4 linked regions of the Drosophila melanogaster genome follow. The protein of the gene in region 4 interacts with the protein of the main gene of each other region in a pairwise test. Each region holds a gene or a part of one and is shown on either strand. Other genes may lie near its edges. The genes, in order: CG31249, SmydA-8, HGTX and CG31807.

Region 1 (3,526 bases), on a different chromosome or scaffold from region 4:
AACTTCTTAGTTTTAATCGCATAACTCGGAGGCGAATGGAAATGAAATTAAGCGAGAGAAACAAGCAAACAAGCAAAAATGAAAAACCCTCAGATGAAGGCAAGCAAACAATTTAAATTGAAATCAAATTAGGTGATATAATATATAAAAATACATAACATATACATACATAATTAATATAAACGAAACATGAAAAATCGAAAAAATGAAACCCTAATGCTGTAATCTTATGTTAACTGTATTATTTGCTGGAAGTGCTGCTGCTTCGTTTTATTTTATATCGAACTTACTTAAGGCGTAAATGACAAGATAAATAATTAGGTTTTTATCTTAATCTTAATTTAAAATGCAAAACAAATAAAACCAAGAAAACAAAGCAAAACAAAACGAAACCATAAAATGCTATAAAACACAAAGCGAAGCAAATCGAACTAAAGCTGTAGAGAAGCACGCAAAAAGGACTAATAACCACACATCCACACCCACACCCAAAATGCTTGGCGTTAGGAAACCAATAAACAATTAATGCAAAACCATACATGGGTGGGTGCACCAATTTGTATACTAAACTTTCTCACACATAATTAACGTGCTACATAAGAGATCGAAAATGAAATGTCTCCAGATTCTGGCATGAGCAAGTCTAGAGGTCCTTCCGGTTTCCGGTGGCGATCCTCTGGATCCAGAGGAACTGCAAGATATTGGGAGATAATAGGAAACTGCTGCTGTTGATACGTGTATTCGTGTAGTTGTTTGCAAACAAATATTATAACTCAGCATCTCGATATATAACGTGTAGTTATTAGTCTATAATTTGCTAGGATGTAAATGTATGTCCCTCAAACTTAATTTAATTATTTAATTAATATACATACATATATGATATACAATACAGCCTTTGTACTTGTCGTTTCTTATCGCTGATAAGGGAAAAATATTTTTTGGCGGGGAAATACTTTTTAGAACTCATTTCGATTTTTTCAGTGCAAATCAATTGGTCAGATTGATGAATCCTATGGTAACGCATTCCCAAAATATTTCTTATTATATTATTATAAACTATATTGCTTCTGTTCAGCGTAGGACATTCACTGTTGAGCGAAAGATTATTATATAAATGTATATTCGAGATAATATGCAATTGAGCACCTAAATACCATGTCTAGGTTTTCAAAAATGTCTAGTAACAAGATCTTTTGTCTGTTATTAGGCTGTACTTTCAGCATTGAGGTCGATGTTACTCGATTGGGAATTTGTGCATTGTATTTACAATGTCAATTTGTTCAAATTTACAATTTCAAAAATCAATTTTAAAAGAACTTACATTAATATTAAGAATTCGCGTGTTCCGGGATAAATTTGACTTTTTTAATTAATTGACAATTTTAATCGGTCAATGAAGAGCTTTAAAATTGTATTAATAGTTCTTCAATTAATTGAATAATATGATGTGCAAAAAAATAATTATCGGAAAAAATACTTTTTGACAGTAAGTAGTTTCTTACAAAATATTTGATTTAAAAATTATATATCGATACTTTTTCGAGATTATTAAATTCGAACAGCTTTATCACAGCAAGTTGGCAGCCCAATTTCTACGTCGATAAGTCCTCTCGTTTAATGTTCCATCCCTTAAATTTGGGCGATAAGAATAAGCACAGCCGGCTGTAACATTTTTTGTAAATTAACAGAGCGAATCGATTTTTGTATAGTAATCCGTTGAAAGCATGCTGTCGCTCAAGATGAAACTCGAGGTACTGGGTCGTCCCGATGTTGACATCCCGGTGGTGATGAGCGGTAATTGTCTAGTTTTCCTGATGGGGCTATAAGTCATCCCATTCTTTTCGTTCCGCAGACCGCAAGGAATTCGCCAACACAGTCCTCTGGTTGGAGGACCAGAAGATCCGGCTTTACTCCATAGAGGATCGCTGTAAGCTGCGCACTGTCGACAACCCTGAGATCTGGAAGGAGGGTTACTTAAAGTACTGTGCCGATTTGAGCATGCCGCCCCTGGAGACGCGGCAGGAGCAGCTGGCCTGGATTGTCAGCTATGCTGTGCGCCTGGACTTCCTCGATGATCCTGATCAGTTTGCCTCGATTAACACCAAACAGGTGCCACCCCAAAGCAATGGCAAGCAGTCCCAACAAAGGGTCCAGGCTATTTTCGATGGAAATATTAATAGTATGGTCTGATTTTAACTAAATTTACCATTTAAGGAACTTTAAATTTATATATTATGGATTTTTTAAGAGGTTCCAAAAACCACTTTTATTATCTATAGATGATAATCAGGTAAAGTACAACAAGTATTAATTCTTTCTTCCCACCAGCTCAGGAAAAAGCGTTCGTGGATGGAGTCCGGCTGCTGGCCAGCAAACTGAATGTGCCGCACCACCCGAACCATCTGTTGCAGCTGGAGGCTATCGCTCGCGTGGTGCACGAACGCCTCTCGCCCGCCGCCAAGGATCGCAAGCCGGTAGTGGGTAAACCCTTCCCTTTTGACAAGGGAAACGACGTCGTCTCGTCCAACGACTCTGCCCTGGACCTGCCCATGCGCATACTACGTCTTCTCCAGATCCAGAGCCTACGCGAGCTGCAGACACACATCAATGAGACCATTGTGGCGGTGCAGAACATCACGGCCAATCCAAAGACTGATACCAAGCTGGGGAAAGTGGGATTCTAGACGATTAACAGTAAAGGAACGCAATCGACACAATATAACATAAAAGGACATAAAGAACATAAAAGTTTTAAAATTGCATCTATAAAATATCCTTTAAAGCCAAGCAACAACATTTAGCAGAAATCAATAGATAGATCAACAGCCAAGCTATGAACAAGCAAACACCTTTTTTGAAAGCTATAAAATAAGAATCCTGTTGATATTTTATAATATTATTATTAATACAAACATATGTTTATTTATGATCCTCTTTCAAAAGATGCAATATTGTGTATGCCTATGTAATTAATTTATTTAAAATAAATCATAAATTCATTAAAGCAAACAAGGTTTTGTTTTCAACGATTTTAAATAGAAAAAATTCTAAAAACAAGGTTACAGCTATATTATTGTAATGCCACATGGTCGTACAAAAGAAAACATTAACCTTTATATATTAAGTGACTCTACGATTATAATTAAAACGTCATTGAATTAACGTCTAGAAAAGAACTGATGATCAGTGCTAGTATTTTCCTGTTCTTTTGGCTTCTCGGCGGTTGCCTTCAGGAAATTCGCGTCTGCCAGGCGGGCCACGCCCAGAACTCCAACGGCTATGGCGACGAAGGAGAAAGGAGTAAACATAAGACCGGATTTAAGATCCCAAGTGGCTCACCTGCAGCCAAGCCTTTCATAGTGAAATTCTCCAGAGGTTTCGCTTGTCTTTTTTTCGACTGTGCCAATAGGAAGGCACCAATTCCCAGGAGTCCAAGGCCACTGACCAGACGGCAGGCCAAGCAGTCCACCTCGTTGGAAACGTTGTCCTTGTTCCAAAAAGAAAGTCTACCGATCATTTTTAA
Region 2 (5,623 bases), on a different chromosome or scaffold from region 4:
CCTACTCCATATTTTTTTGTTTTTTTTTCTACTGTAACTATAAATCTAGATACGTACTGATGCACACGACACTTGGTTAGATTAAGTCCTAGACCTAGGCCAGCCATGTACCGAGGTATGCGTGTATGCCGCAGCTATGGCATATCCGAATAATTGTGTACGGGCGACTGTCACCGAACCGCCGGCTTCTGTCCCCCGAGCCATGACCTCTGACCCCAGACCCCAGACCCCTGACCCCTGACCCCAGACCCCATTAAAGGCCCCCATTGCAAGTGCATGCAAATGTATGCCTACACGTACATGTACCCATACCAAATTATTGTTATTCTATTATGACTGTATGCCTGTGCGTGTGTGTCCGTCTGTGTATGCGCCATTAAAGAAAGCTTTTGTACAACAACAGAAAACCACAAAAGTCCATTTTGAAATCGATTGGCTGAAAAACCACACATGCCCCTGACAATGGGAATATGAAATGTGCGGGTAAGTAGCGTTGTGCTTGAAACAATCTATTTTTTACGAAATCAAATACGAAAGATACAGGCTCTAGAAATTCATACGCGTTAAGATTACTGCAATCAGTTTTGGCCAATAGCCCCAGAAATGCAATAGATAATCCATGTACCATATAAATCACATGCCATATACATACTGCCCAGTCGACTTGCTCCTCGTCAACACAGCATTCCTTTCACATACTACAGTGCTTGCCAAGACGATCCCAAAAAAACGAATGAGAGCCCAGAGAATCTACATCGTGGCAATTTTCAACTTGTTGGTCAATCGCAGACCGGTGATCTTCGTGGCTAGTTGGCTATTCATATTTATTGTCAGGGCACAGAGGCGTTCCTCGAAAGGGGTCCACATACAGAACGGATTGCAGATATAGTTCGAAAGGATTCGGTGTTTATTGGATTCTTAAGTGACTACGAATAAAATAGCAACAAAGGGCTCGGATGCGATTCACGCCACCCCGAAAAGTACGCATTCACAAAAGCACTCACTCATTCACACCTAAAAAAAAAAAAATGAAGTTTTGAAGCTAAATATGAATCACTGAATCTCCCCGGTGATCAGCTTCTTTAGGGTACACTCTCCGGCTCCCAGCTTGTGGAGGATGGCCAACACTTCCTCGCGGTAGCGATCCATGTGGCCCATCTCCTCCGGAGTGTACTCCTCGTGGTCGAACCGCGTCATCCTCCAGATCACATTCAGCTTGGCCTCGATCAGCACGTAGTTCGAGGAGGGACAGAAGCGCGGACACAGCTCGTTGATGAAGTGGATCATGTCCTGGACACTGCACGAGTTGATACGGTTATTGATGGTGTTCAGCGCGAAGTCCTGGTACTTGGCCATCTTTGCGTGCGGGAACACGTTCTCGCAAGTGATGCACCGCCAGTCCGGCTGCAGTGTCCGAGTCTGGACGGGAATCACCAGGCCACGGCAGCCCTGTTCCCGGCAGAAAAGCGCCGACAAGTAGGTGCCGTTTTCCTGCAAGAAGACAATGGTCAGTGAATCGAAGGACTTGGGGGGAATCAGGAAATCGGGGGTGGAATCTGCAGTCAAAGATCCGGCGGGTTCACGTCCGCCTCTGTCCATTCACGGCGTACAGTTGGTTCCACTCCGAATCGAAATGGAAATCGAAATCGAAATCAGAATCGAAATCAAAATTAACATTCTGTGTGTCATGCTCATGTAAATTTTGGGGGTGTGTGTTAGTAGCCCGGGAACTTTGGATGCCCACATTAAAGGCATATAGGCAAATAGGATCAATGGACTGATAATGTATGCCTCGGAGGTCTTGAACAAGAGTGCGTTTAAGGTGTATATTTAATAGCAAGAATGGAACTGTCCAACGACTGCAGGGCTGTGACAAAGATGTCTCAAGCTCACCCAACTCCCAACAAGTAATTTTGTTACTATGCCCATCAGGCAGTCATTTTAGCAGGGAAAAGTGCGTGTGCCTGTTACCAAATGTTGCCCCTTTGCCCACTTGATGGACACCCCCCCTTGGGCGCGCCCCTGGGCCCTGGTTGATGCAAATCATATAACTAATTTAATTAGGGAACGCATTTGTGTCAGGGGGCCTGGCCAGCGGCGGCCACTGCCAACGCCAGAGGCCATTATTCAACTCATCCCAGAGCGGCAGAGAGCGGCCACATAAATAGATGTGGCCGGCCGGATATGTGGATCGCGTACGTACATACATATATGCCCATGCCACTCACATCCCTACCACACGCGCACTTTCACAACGCCGGTGACATCGGCGTTGGCCAAGAAATGTGCCCGAAATTCAGAGCTTTTCAAATTGCAATTATTGTTTTTTGTTTTGGGACAAATATATTGCGATGGTCGCGATGCAGATGGCGGATAGGGAGAATGATAGCTATCAGGTAGGTTCAGAAAAAGAGGATTGGTGGAAAGTTTGGCGAAGATTGCTATTAACCATGAAGAAACTCCATCAGCCTAGAAATGACCATAGTCAGAAGCTAAGCTTGCAGATGGTGGGAGGAGGGATTACCCAAGGAGACCAGGATTCCTATTGGTACCGTACTCACAGTATTGTCGTGACACCTCACGCAGTCGCAGGCAAAGTGCTTGGTCATCTTGAGGAAGATATTCCGGGTGAGGTTGCCCCAGAGGATCTTGGTGTAGGTCGTGGTAATCTCACCGCCCTTGGGAATATCGCGCGCAGCCCGAACCACCGCCAGTCGACCGTTTTCGAAGTAGTGACTAGCGTTCGGGGTGCACTCGTGGTTCATGATCGCCGTGAGCGGGAACAGACCCCGCAGTAGCGTCTCGTGGCCGCCAGAGCGGCAAGGAGCCTCGAAGGCATTTGTATTGAGCACGCCCACGATCCGGAACAGCTGGTCCATGAACACCCGATCCGTGGTGGGGAAGTTCCGGAAGCATTGGGCCGCCTGGATGATCTCCCGCCGGTAAGCGCGCTCCGCATTCGCTTGCATGGCGTCCACCAGATGCCGCTGTTCCTTGCCCAAGTGGAAGACCCTCACTGCGGTGAGGATCCTCAGCGACATAGGATTCACCTGCTCCTGCTCCGCATCCACGTCTTTGGGCTGCCAGCGACGGAAGTGCTCGCACTCCGCCTGGTGCTCCTCGGAATCCGAACAGGTTTCGCATACGGGCAGGGTGCAGCGATGCCGGCAAAGGAATCCCGTTTGCGGCAGGGTCTCATGACAGCAGATGCAGCTGCTCAGTTGGCCCTTTCTCGCCGTCGGACCGGTGACTAGGGCTCGCTCCTGGAAGATCAGCTCGCCGGCGGCTATGTCTCGGGTGGCAAACACCCCACGACCTGCCACCGTGGAGGAGCTGATGGTCCAGTTGGGCTGCTCTTGGCGCAGATCCCCCAAGTGGACGTCTATCAGCTGCGCCAGCTGCTCGGGCGTGGTGTCGCGACAAGGGGCCATGTGAGCGCTCAGGGCGGCCAGTGTGGTGTCTCCTCCACCACCGCCTGGGCGAGGAGGCGGGCACTGGGCAGCAGTAGACATGGCGACTGCGGTGGGAGGTCGGTCGGAACTGCGGCGAACCAACGCGACGCGCGGCAACTCGGCGAGTGAAGATGTCTCCGCGCAGCTGGGCGGACTACGCGGGAATAGCAACGATATAGTGGCGACAGCGACGACAGCAGCAACATGAGCAGCGGCAGCAGCAGCAGCAACACCACCCAGCACATCAGCAACAACAGCAACAACTGACTGCCGACAGTGGAAGCAACCCAGCAAAGCAGCGACGCTTATGACGTGGACACACCGACGCCCTCGGAGAGCATTAGACACAACTAAAAAAACACAAATTAGAGGCATCCACCAGGGAACGGGGGAAGGCGATTGACGAAAGGGGCCGGGAGGTGAGGAACGGGAAATGGGGGGGCAAGGGGACAACAGCGACAACAGTCAAATATGATTTTTTCCAAGGCACACGCACACTGAAAGCACACACACTCGCCGCCAAGTTCCCATTTACGAAATCCAAAATAACATTTTCCCCGAAGGAAAGAACTTGAGCATTGTGTTCATTGTTTTGGCCAAAATTCGGGCTATTTTTAGGCAGCTTGACACAAAAGTTCAACACTTTTTGTGAGAAGCCAAAAGTTTTGATTCCGCGATAAGCGGTTTCGAAACGTTTTCGGAGTCGGGAACGTGGAGCCACTTGGTGCGCCACTGGGAAATAGAGACATTTGGCTGGGACGACGCAAAGCGGATTTTGCTTTTGACTCTTATTCAATTTGTGCTTGAGCTGTTGTTGCCGTGTGGTTGTTGCTGCCGCTGCTGTGGTTGCTATTGTTGCGTTCAATTGGATTCGCTAGTGGGCGTCCATCGGGGGTTGACGATCGCGAGGGGCATAGTGAAAGGCACTGATGCAGCCATCAGCCATCAGCCATTCAGCCATCAAAGAACATTTCCCACTGTCAATTTGTTCGCCAAACACCTCACTGTGGCTGAAACCCCCAGCCCCCTTCACCGAAGTCTGCTTGCGGTTGGTTATGGACGCCATAAACTGAAACGAAGCCATAGGAGCACCACCCACCCCATCTCATCCCCACCTCCACCCCCATCCCATCGCTATCACCATCTTCATCCGATTTCTGTCGCCCTACGACAATCTGAACGGTTGGCAAAATTATTTGTGGAGATGCAGCGCCATTGATACCAAGCGTGTTTGTCTCCCACGCTGCTACACTGGCCAAAAATGAGTGCACGACGTAATAGGCCGCTCATGGATAGGACTGTAAGCCCTGGAGAGTGTTGCCTAAATGCATACAACGTAGAATAAGAAATGAGTACTACAATCCTGGCTGGCAGTGCAACCCACTTTCTGCGGGTCTAACTACATATGGCAGTGCGTGTGGCCGGGACATAAATTAGGGCTTCGCTGGCCAATGAGTTGCGTGTTCCAGGGGCCAAGGGGTCGGAGACACCAGGCCGCAAAACGAGGTGAGCGTCGCAACACGTGACCTGGTGGGGAGAAGGACCAGTACCAGGACCATGACCAAAAATGGGGTGGCTCCACTCCCAGCTGTTCACTTTCCGACGCGAATGTCACGCACTGTCACATGTTCCAAAGTGGAGTAGGTTCGTCCTGCCACGCCCATTCTCTGCGGTAATACGTAAATCAGTTCTAAAGCGTACGACCTCCGTTCTCCCTGCTCCTGCTACGGACCGCCAGCAACTTATAGTTCGCCCACATTCCAAATCTATTTTCACTTTTACGCGCATTTTATTGGCCCAATCGAACGGAAGCTAGACTGAGCGGCATGAAGCGAATAGAACGCACTCGAATGCCAAATATCAAAAAGCGTGAATACCAACTGAAAAATTATAGGGTGCGTTCGGGCATTATCGACCATGAGTCCTTTAAAGCTATCATGATAAATATTATTACATTAGCACAACCACAACTTTTGTAATAGTCGATCAAATGTGGAATGCCATACCTTGTTGAATTCGTAGCTTAATTTCCTATCCAGTGGCATTCCCAGCTAAAAATATTAAAATTTCACCATTTTTCGAAAAAAAACGTGATGTAACCCCTTATAAAAAAGTGAAAATTTCGCAAAAAATTATTTTTACCAAATTATCTAAAAAATGAAATGGGTCGT
Region 3 (4,915 bases), on a different chromosome or scaffold from region 4:
TTTAGTGTCTTGTTAGATTTTTTGTGGGGCCGAAATTTATGAACACTGTAAATATACTGTAAAAAAGACTTGATGGATTTAGTTATGAATTTATAAAATATTATTTTTTTTCTTAAGGGTATGTATTATTATGTTTTTCTTGTATTTAAAGTTGTCTTAAAAAAAATGTAGTGACAAACGACTTATATTGATAATATAAATCTTACAATTAACTTTTTCGTTTTTAAACAAATTCAATAGTTTTTATATTAAAGCTGAATGCTTACAGGCAACCTTAAAATTTAAAGTGTAAATTTTTCAATATTTTTCGTTAAAGATCTGTTAACTACGATGAAAGAAAATTCTATGACATGTTTTCTGCCACGCATAAATTTATGGGGAATTGTTTCAGATCAAAGCAAAAGATGAGGGCTGCTTAGACGAACTACGAAAGGAGAGACGAATGGATGGGTAAGGCTTCCAGGAGTATTTAAGGTCTTCATTTTTATGGGTCGGCAAAGTCAATTAAATAAAGAACACAGTCGAAAATCAACAAGCTGTGGTGGAAATGACCAGCAAAAGATAGAGATACTCACTCAACGGTTGAGTGAATTCGCTCCTTCATACTTTCACTCACATTCATTCACAATGGCGGTCCAAGTTCTCTCTCCCTTTCTCATTTTAGTGGGCGTGGCCTTGCCCTCTATTCCACATCCCATTTCATTCCTATGAGATCTCACCGTTTTGTCTGAGTAAATTAAAATTGTGTGTAGTTTATTATTAAATGAAGCGCATTTTTGTATTTGTATGTGGACCACCCGTCTGCCTGTCAGAGTATGTGTGTGTGTGTGTAACACCAGCAACAGCGGTATTTTTATATAGATAAACATAAATATAATTCGTTGGCCGTCGGTGGGTTAACAATCCTCCGGCCCACCGACGGGCACATAATAATATTAAAATGTTAATTAGCGTATTAATTCAGTTCGGTGATGAAAGTGTGAGCGGTACAAAACGTGATACATACATATATATGTTGGTATGCTGTGCTGGGACTCACATTTCTGAAAATAATTTATAAGATAATCTAGAAAAAGGTGTCTTTGGTATATGGTTAAAAAAAATCCTTAAAATATAGAGTAATTAAAAAATAAAACTATATAGGCATATTCTTTACAGTTCGCGAATTAATAACATTTCACATATTTATGTTATATTACTTAAGTACAGAATTTTGTATTAAATTAATTACAAACAAACATTTAAAAAAAGTGTTGAAATACTTCTACTTTAACCTATAGTTTCTCGTTTACATTTATAGCTCTCATTTATCGCCAGCGCAATTTTTAATTATTTAAATGAATAAGTCCAACGAAAAAAGCTGCCAGCTTCGTCTCAATATTTATAGCTTTTTAAACAAATAAACGGAATTCGCAGTCGACAAAAAGGCCACCCACAATCCAGCGACCCAGGGAAAAAGCCATGAAAATGCACTCAGCCTCAAGGAAACAGTTGGCCAGAAAAGGACAGATGGTGGTGCAAGCGAGACAAAGCACACCAAGAGTGCCAGGATAAGTTCCCGTTTCAGTCCCAGGCTCCAATCCGAATCCGAAATAGTTGATTTTAATGATGTACATAATAAAATTCCCATTCGTTTTGTGCCAATGCCACTGCGTTCCAGTCTGCATTTCATGTTTACACTGATTGTGGAACACTCTTGTGGGCGAGAAAGAGACACATCGATATGGGGGAGCAAGACAACCATATACGACTCTCTCCCTCGCGCGCTCTAGAGATGATGCTGCGAGTGGAAGTGGAATCGGAATGCGGAGGGTTGAAAGCCGTACCCCCAACCAAAAACCGAAACTGAAATTGAAACTGAGATTGTGCGACTGAGGGCCAGTCGAGTCAATTTCGAAATCATTCGTTAGTCGTAGGCCTAAACAAGCGGACACGCGCGGGTCTTCATTCACTACGATATTTTCCGGCCACGGAGTTACCCATATAGCCTGATCTCGTTCAAATCGATTATGCCAAGTGTAGTTTCTTAAAATCTAAGAACGATTTGAACAATAAACGTTTTCGTGCTCAACCGTTTGACAAAATCGGTTTCGTGCTTGTGCTAAAAAGGATTCAAGATCATTTGATCATTTGATCTTGAATATATAGATTTACGTGTTTTAATCGTATCGTGATCGGAAAATATTAAAAACCCTATATAAATATAAATACTGCGTACATCGGAAACTGAAGTGCTGACATTATAATTGAAAACAATTCAAGCAAAATACGTAGTTAAACAAAATTTCCAAAAAATTATTAAGGAACTCAATAAGTTTTATAAGCATAAAGCAGGATATCCCCTTAAATAATTTTTTTGGTCTTAATTACATAGAAGTAATTAATCAAAAATATTTGAACAAAAAGCTGCTATTGCTTAAATACTATTTATAACCAAACTGAAAAGCCTAAATCGTTAAGATTCGATCTTCTCCGCGTGAATACCTATCCGTAGACCGATCCCAAGCTGGGTAGTCCATTCCTGAGCATTACGCCGGCGGGTGGCAGCAGCAATCCCTCGCCCACGCCTCCACCGCCAGACGCCAAGGTGGCGGCCAAGCAGCTGGCCCAGAGCTTCCAGCTGTCCGCCAATTCCGCCTTTAACTTGGCCCTTCCGCCGGCATTTTACCGAGCACCACCGCAGCAGCACCCGGAGTGCCTGGACTACGGCCACGAAGCGCCCGAGATGGATCTGATAAATCCGTATATGCGCCATCATAGTTTTGCGGCCGCCGCCCAGGGAAGTCCCCCGTCGGCGGCTCAACGTCATCATTTGGCGGCGGCCATGAGCAATGGCTTCGCGGATGTCCATGCCCATGCGATGGCGGCGGCGGACTATCAACAACAGTTGGCCGATTACCACAGTGCAGCGGCGGCAGCGGCCGTTTATGCCAACAACAATAATAATAATAACAATAATAGCAGTAACAACAACAACAGCAGTCCGCTAATGTTGCTAAAGGCGGCACATGGCGGAGGTCTCAAGGATTCGGACTCGCCATCGACGACACCGCCACCCGCCTCTTCTAGACTCCATTCTGACTCCTCGCCATCTCCGCGATACGAACACAATTCCAGTCCCGGTGTGGACAGTGCCAAGTCGTATGCCTTGAGCCAGAGGAGCAGCGGAGCGGAGGATCCATGCCAGACCAGCGAATCCGCCAGTCCACCGCCGCAGGGCCAGAACGACTACAGTCCCGAGAATCTCAGCAGCCAGAGGGCAAAGTTCCAGCACCATCATGGAGTGAACCCACTGGCTTTGCACAATGCCAACCATGCCGGAAACCCCGGATGTCACAACAACAATAACCACATGGACCACAAGCTCCCACTGAGTTTTCTCGGTCCCCCGCTGGCCGCTCTTCACTCGATGACCACGGAAATGAAGGGTCAAGGAGTCGGTGGATCGTCGGCGTCGGCAAATGGCTTGTCCTATAGCCACAGCCCGAATTCGCATTTGATCAGTGATCGCGGATCCGGTGGCAGCTCATCGTCGTCCTCCACCACGACTACGAACACCAACAGCCAGGGTGCACCCAATCCGCACGGCATCGATACCATCCTCTCCAAACCACCGCCGGTGACATCGGCGGGTCTAAGTGCTTTAACAGGAGGTGAGTAAAGGAATGGATTTAATATGGGTTGGGTTTATTATATATTATACCCTGTTATTTTATACCAATTATATTAAGGAAGAAAGTGTATAAGGCCATGATTTGGGGACTTTTAATAAATTTCGAACTTCTTAAAGATGTTTGTTAAAACACACATTTTAATAATGCATAAAATAAAATACATAAACAATGGTTCTTGTTTTTACAATTTTATTGACATAAATCTAAATTTGGAAAAATCAAAATATTCCATTTAAATTTAAGCGCTTTCCAAAAAGTTGCTATATGTGTTGCTTAATGCTGAAGAACTTTGCTCTAATTTGAACGCATAACTATTAAACTTAATTGCATAATAAAAATGAAATAATAATACGCTACCTGTTTATTTACAATTGTCTCTCCCAATTCAATGCACCTAGTCATTATGCAACACTGAAATATGTGTATATATGTACATATGTATCAGACACGAATCAATAGATATTTTGTATGCACCGAACTCAAAAAGCCAAAGAAAAAAAGAGATATATTTTAAATGCTTCAAAAACTCGTTTCGCAAACCAAACAGAAAAATAAAAAGGCAATCTCGTCGAACAAAAACGACCGAAAATTGTTGTTTTGTTTACGAATCCGGTTTGGCATGATTCCATATGATTCCATGATTCAATAAAAGCCATTCCCCAGCCCACAACCCCCCTGTCATTACGCCCCCTGGTCGCTTTACCTAATCAGGGCAATTTTGGATATTGAGCACACCGTTTTCTACGAAACCCAAAATGGTTATAATATCCAATTGCAAAATTACCACATAACGTAATGAGATACGCGTTTTAACGTTAAAATTTGCAGCAATTAGTTGTCAAATTGTTTGTAATTAAATCAAAATGACACACAAAAAACGTGGTCTATATGGAAAATAAATGGTGGAGGGGATCTGAATCTGTGACGCTGTCGTTTCACTAAAATGATTTGGTTTTTCAGCCACTCTGCGTCGCATTTTTTGTACTTTTTCACTCAAATGTAGACCAATTGTGTGACATGACAGTGGTTTGAAAGGAGGGGGCGCGGTTGACAGGGTGATGACAATTTGCCATAACATTTTTAATTATTTTTAACGAGGGCGTTTATGTGATTTGATTCGTTTATTTGGGTTTTTCTTTAAACGATTCGGTCACCAGAAACGTAACTCATTCTTTGACAAATTATTTAATGGTCTTTAATTAATTCGAACAAATTCCGTATTGTGTGTTTGAGTTCGCCAT
Region 4 (2,662 bases):
TGAATCTGCCGCTTCAGATTTGGACAGCAGCAAGAAGCAGGGCGAGATCAAGGCGTCAAAGTCGGAGAAATACCTCGAAGTACCTTACAAACAGCTTGCGGAGAGTTACGACCAGGAAGTGGAATCACCAGTCCAATTTGGAAACCAATTCAATGAATGAAGGAGGAACCAACGGGGAATGCAATTATTAGAACCAAAAAATCAATCACTTTTTATATATAAGCTTCTGTAACATGTAAATAAACGGCTTAAACGTCGTTTAGAAAACCGAATTTATATTGGATGCAGTTCTACAAATAGAAAGAAAAATACTTGATATCATAGGGTAAACAAAATATTTATCTATTTTAATAAATTAAATGCGAAAGGAATGTTAGTGCTGTAGAATTCAATATATCCTTAAATGAATTTTTTTATATTAATTTATTGTTGCAAATGCATGTTTCCCAAACCATTTGGTAATTATTCAATTGTATCCCCTCCTAAATATGAAAAAATTGGAATATAGTCGGAAATATAATCGAGGTATTAAAATTTATGTTTATCGATTAAATCGATCGCGCTTATCAACGCACTATATTATAGCTAGAACATCGTATTTATAGAAAATAATTTTATGGCGTGTTTAATAACACACGCCAGACGTCTCTTTCAATAGCTACTTTGCGGCATATTGGGCACATATCGGCATGCTGCAAGTGGGTCCGGATGCACATCTCCCCAAAAAGGTGACCACATCTAAGCGAAACCAAGCGGTGATGATCCTTCGCTTCCCAAGGATCCAGGCATATGCAGCAAGTATTTTCGATGGCAATCTTCTCAAGCTGCTGTGTTAATTCGTCCTTGGACTCGAACAACAACTGCTCTTGCAATAATTTCTGATTGGTTATCTCTTCTTCCATTTGGTAATATAGCTTGAGTTCCTCCTCGCGCATTTTATCCTTCTCTTGAGTTGTAATATTTAGCTTCGCCAGTTGCTTGTCCTTTTGCTCACTTTTTTTCCTTTCCGCTAAGAGCTGCTCAACAACATCCTTCTTCAGCATCCTCATCAACGAGCGAGTCTGGGCTTTGTTATTGGGCATATTGTAAAGAAATTAAAATTACAAGGTGAACGAATTTTTTAGACAAGCACTTTTAGAACGAATGTCTTCTCAGTGAAGGTTTAAGCGTGGACTGCCTAGATTGAACAAAATTATTTTTTCTTGTAATCATTAGAATTAGTTGTGTGTTGCATTTTCCAACACAGCCAACATATTTACAGCTGTCAAAAAAAAAATCCATTTCAAAATAAAACTCGACTGTAATATTTGCGAATCGTTCACATCGAAAACGAGATGGATAAACAAGATATTACAAAGATGACCAAGAAAAAACTCATCGTTGAGGTCATTAAGCAGCGAAAACGGAACAAAGAAAAGGACGAAATCATCAAGGATAGTTTCGAGTCCAAAAAGCGTTTAATTGATCTGCGACTGCAACTGGACAAGGAGAAGAACATAACGAAGGAGTTGCGACTGAGGCTAGCGGCGCAGGACGCGATTGCGAATCAAGCGGAGAACCTGTCTATGAAACGAAAGAAGATCGCCGAAGAGAACAAGTGCTACATTTGCAAATGGAATTATGAGGTTACCGGAGACCATCGCCCAGTTTCAATTAAATGCGGTCACCTTTTTGGAGCGAATTGCATACTACATTACTTGCAGCGTAACAAGACATGCCCCATCTGCAAATCACAGATGATCCGCTGTATGGATGTTCGCATTATTATAGCAGGTCAAAATTTGTGCACGGCTGAATTATTACAGTAAACATTACATTTGCTGGGAAGTTGGACAAAATAAAAACCCAAGCAAAAGAAACAAGAGAAATTAATATTTTCTTGTATGTTTGTGATAATTAAACCACCACAATCATTTTCTCAATTTTTATTCAATTTCCCTTATTCAATCAATAGATGATTTGAACATTTGGCAAGCGTATATCGCAAGTGGAGTGAGACCCCCCGTAATTCCTTAATCAATAAACCACACTCCACTATATGCATACATAAATAATTTGTTATTGTTTTTGTGTGCGGGAACTATTATTATCAATTAAGCAATAATCTGTCGCAGAGTTTGCCAAATAACATTGAGAAAGTGGCTCACGTAATAAAGTAGAGGGAATTTGAAAAGTAGTGTAGTAGTAGTAGTAAAAGAATCAAGTTAAATAATAACGTTAATGTAGGTACATATGTATTGCTTAAAAATATAAATATTTTAGTGCATTTACTAATGTAGAGCAAGGTCCTTATCTGACTAATTGAATCAGGCTACAGTAACTTACTGGCTAAATTAGCAAACTTGTGCTGAGTTTTGGCGGTGCGAGTTGTCTGTCTCCTTTTTGTGGTGGCTGCTTCTCTCCCGTTTATTTTCGCGTGCATCTTCTCTTCCCGCCCGAGAAAAGTGTGAACTCACGAACACACGCAGCCAAAAGTTTTTAGTTCCGTGGCAACCACGTGCGTCTTTTGTTTCCTTTTTTCTTCTCTTGCGATTTTCCTTACTTCGCTCCCTTTTCTTCTATTCGCCGGGGTTGTCAAGCAGAAGTTTTGTTGTTATAAGTGGTGAAATGGATGCTGAAGTTGTTGTGTTTTATGCATAGGCCTGATGCTATTGTACGCAGT

The links.
Region 1: the proteins of CG31807 (region 4) and CG31249 interact in a two-hybrid assay, tested with the Drosophila melanogaster proteins (one large-scale study listed by BioGRID).
Region 2: the proteins of CG31807 (region 4) and SmydA-8 interact in a two-hybrid assay, tested with the Drosophila melanogaster proteins (one large-scale study listed by BioGRID).
Region 3: the proteins of CG31807 (region 4) and HGTX interact in a two-hybrid assay, tested with the Drosophila melanogaster proteins (one large-scale study listed by BioGRID).

Annotation. Positions count from the first base shown.
Region 1 is NT_033777.3:17,685,167-17,688,692, reverse strand, and holds CG31249 (uncharacterized protein), read left to right. Parts: upstream 1-1,621; 5' UTR 1,622-1,727; coding exon 1,728-1,797; intron 1,798-1,855; coding exon 1,856-2,182; intron 2,183-2,331; coding exon 2,332-2,687; 3' UTR 2,688-3,004; downstream 3,005-3,526. Other genes in the region: CG31360 (uncharacterized protein), read right to left, coding at 3,162-3,280, 3,343-3,520.
Region 2 is NC_004354.4:2,204,973-2,210,595, forward strand, and holds SmydA-8 (SET and MYND domain containing, arthropod-specific, member 8), read right to left. Parts: upstream 3,707-5,623; 5' UTR 3,513-3,706; coding exon 2,562-3,512; intron 1,492-2,561; coding exon 1,054-1,491; 3' UTR 543-1,053; downstream 1-542.
Region 3 is NT_037436.4:14,596,524-14,601,438, reverse strand, and holds the start of HGTX (HGTX), read left to right. Parts: upstream 1-1,898; 5' UTR 1,899-2,503; coding exon of another isoform or gene 2,504-2,725; coding exon 2,726-3,653; intron 3,654-4,915.
Region 4 is NT_033779.5:16,681,285-16,683,946, forward strand, and holds CG31807 (uncharacterized protein), read right to left. Parts: upstream 1,119-2,662; 5' UTR 1,083-1,118; coding exon 615-1,082; 3' UTR 535-614; downstream 1-534. Other genes in the region: squ (squash), read left to right, coding at 1-160; CG33552 (uncharacterized protein), read left to right, coding at 1,335-1,808.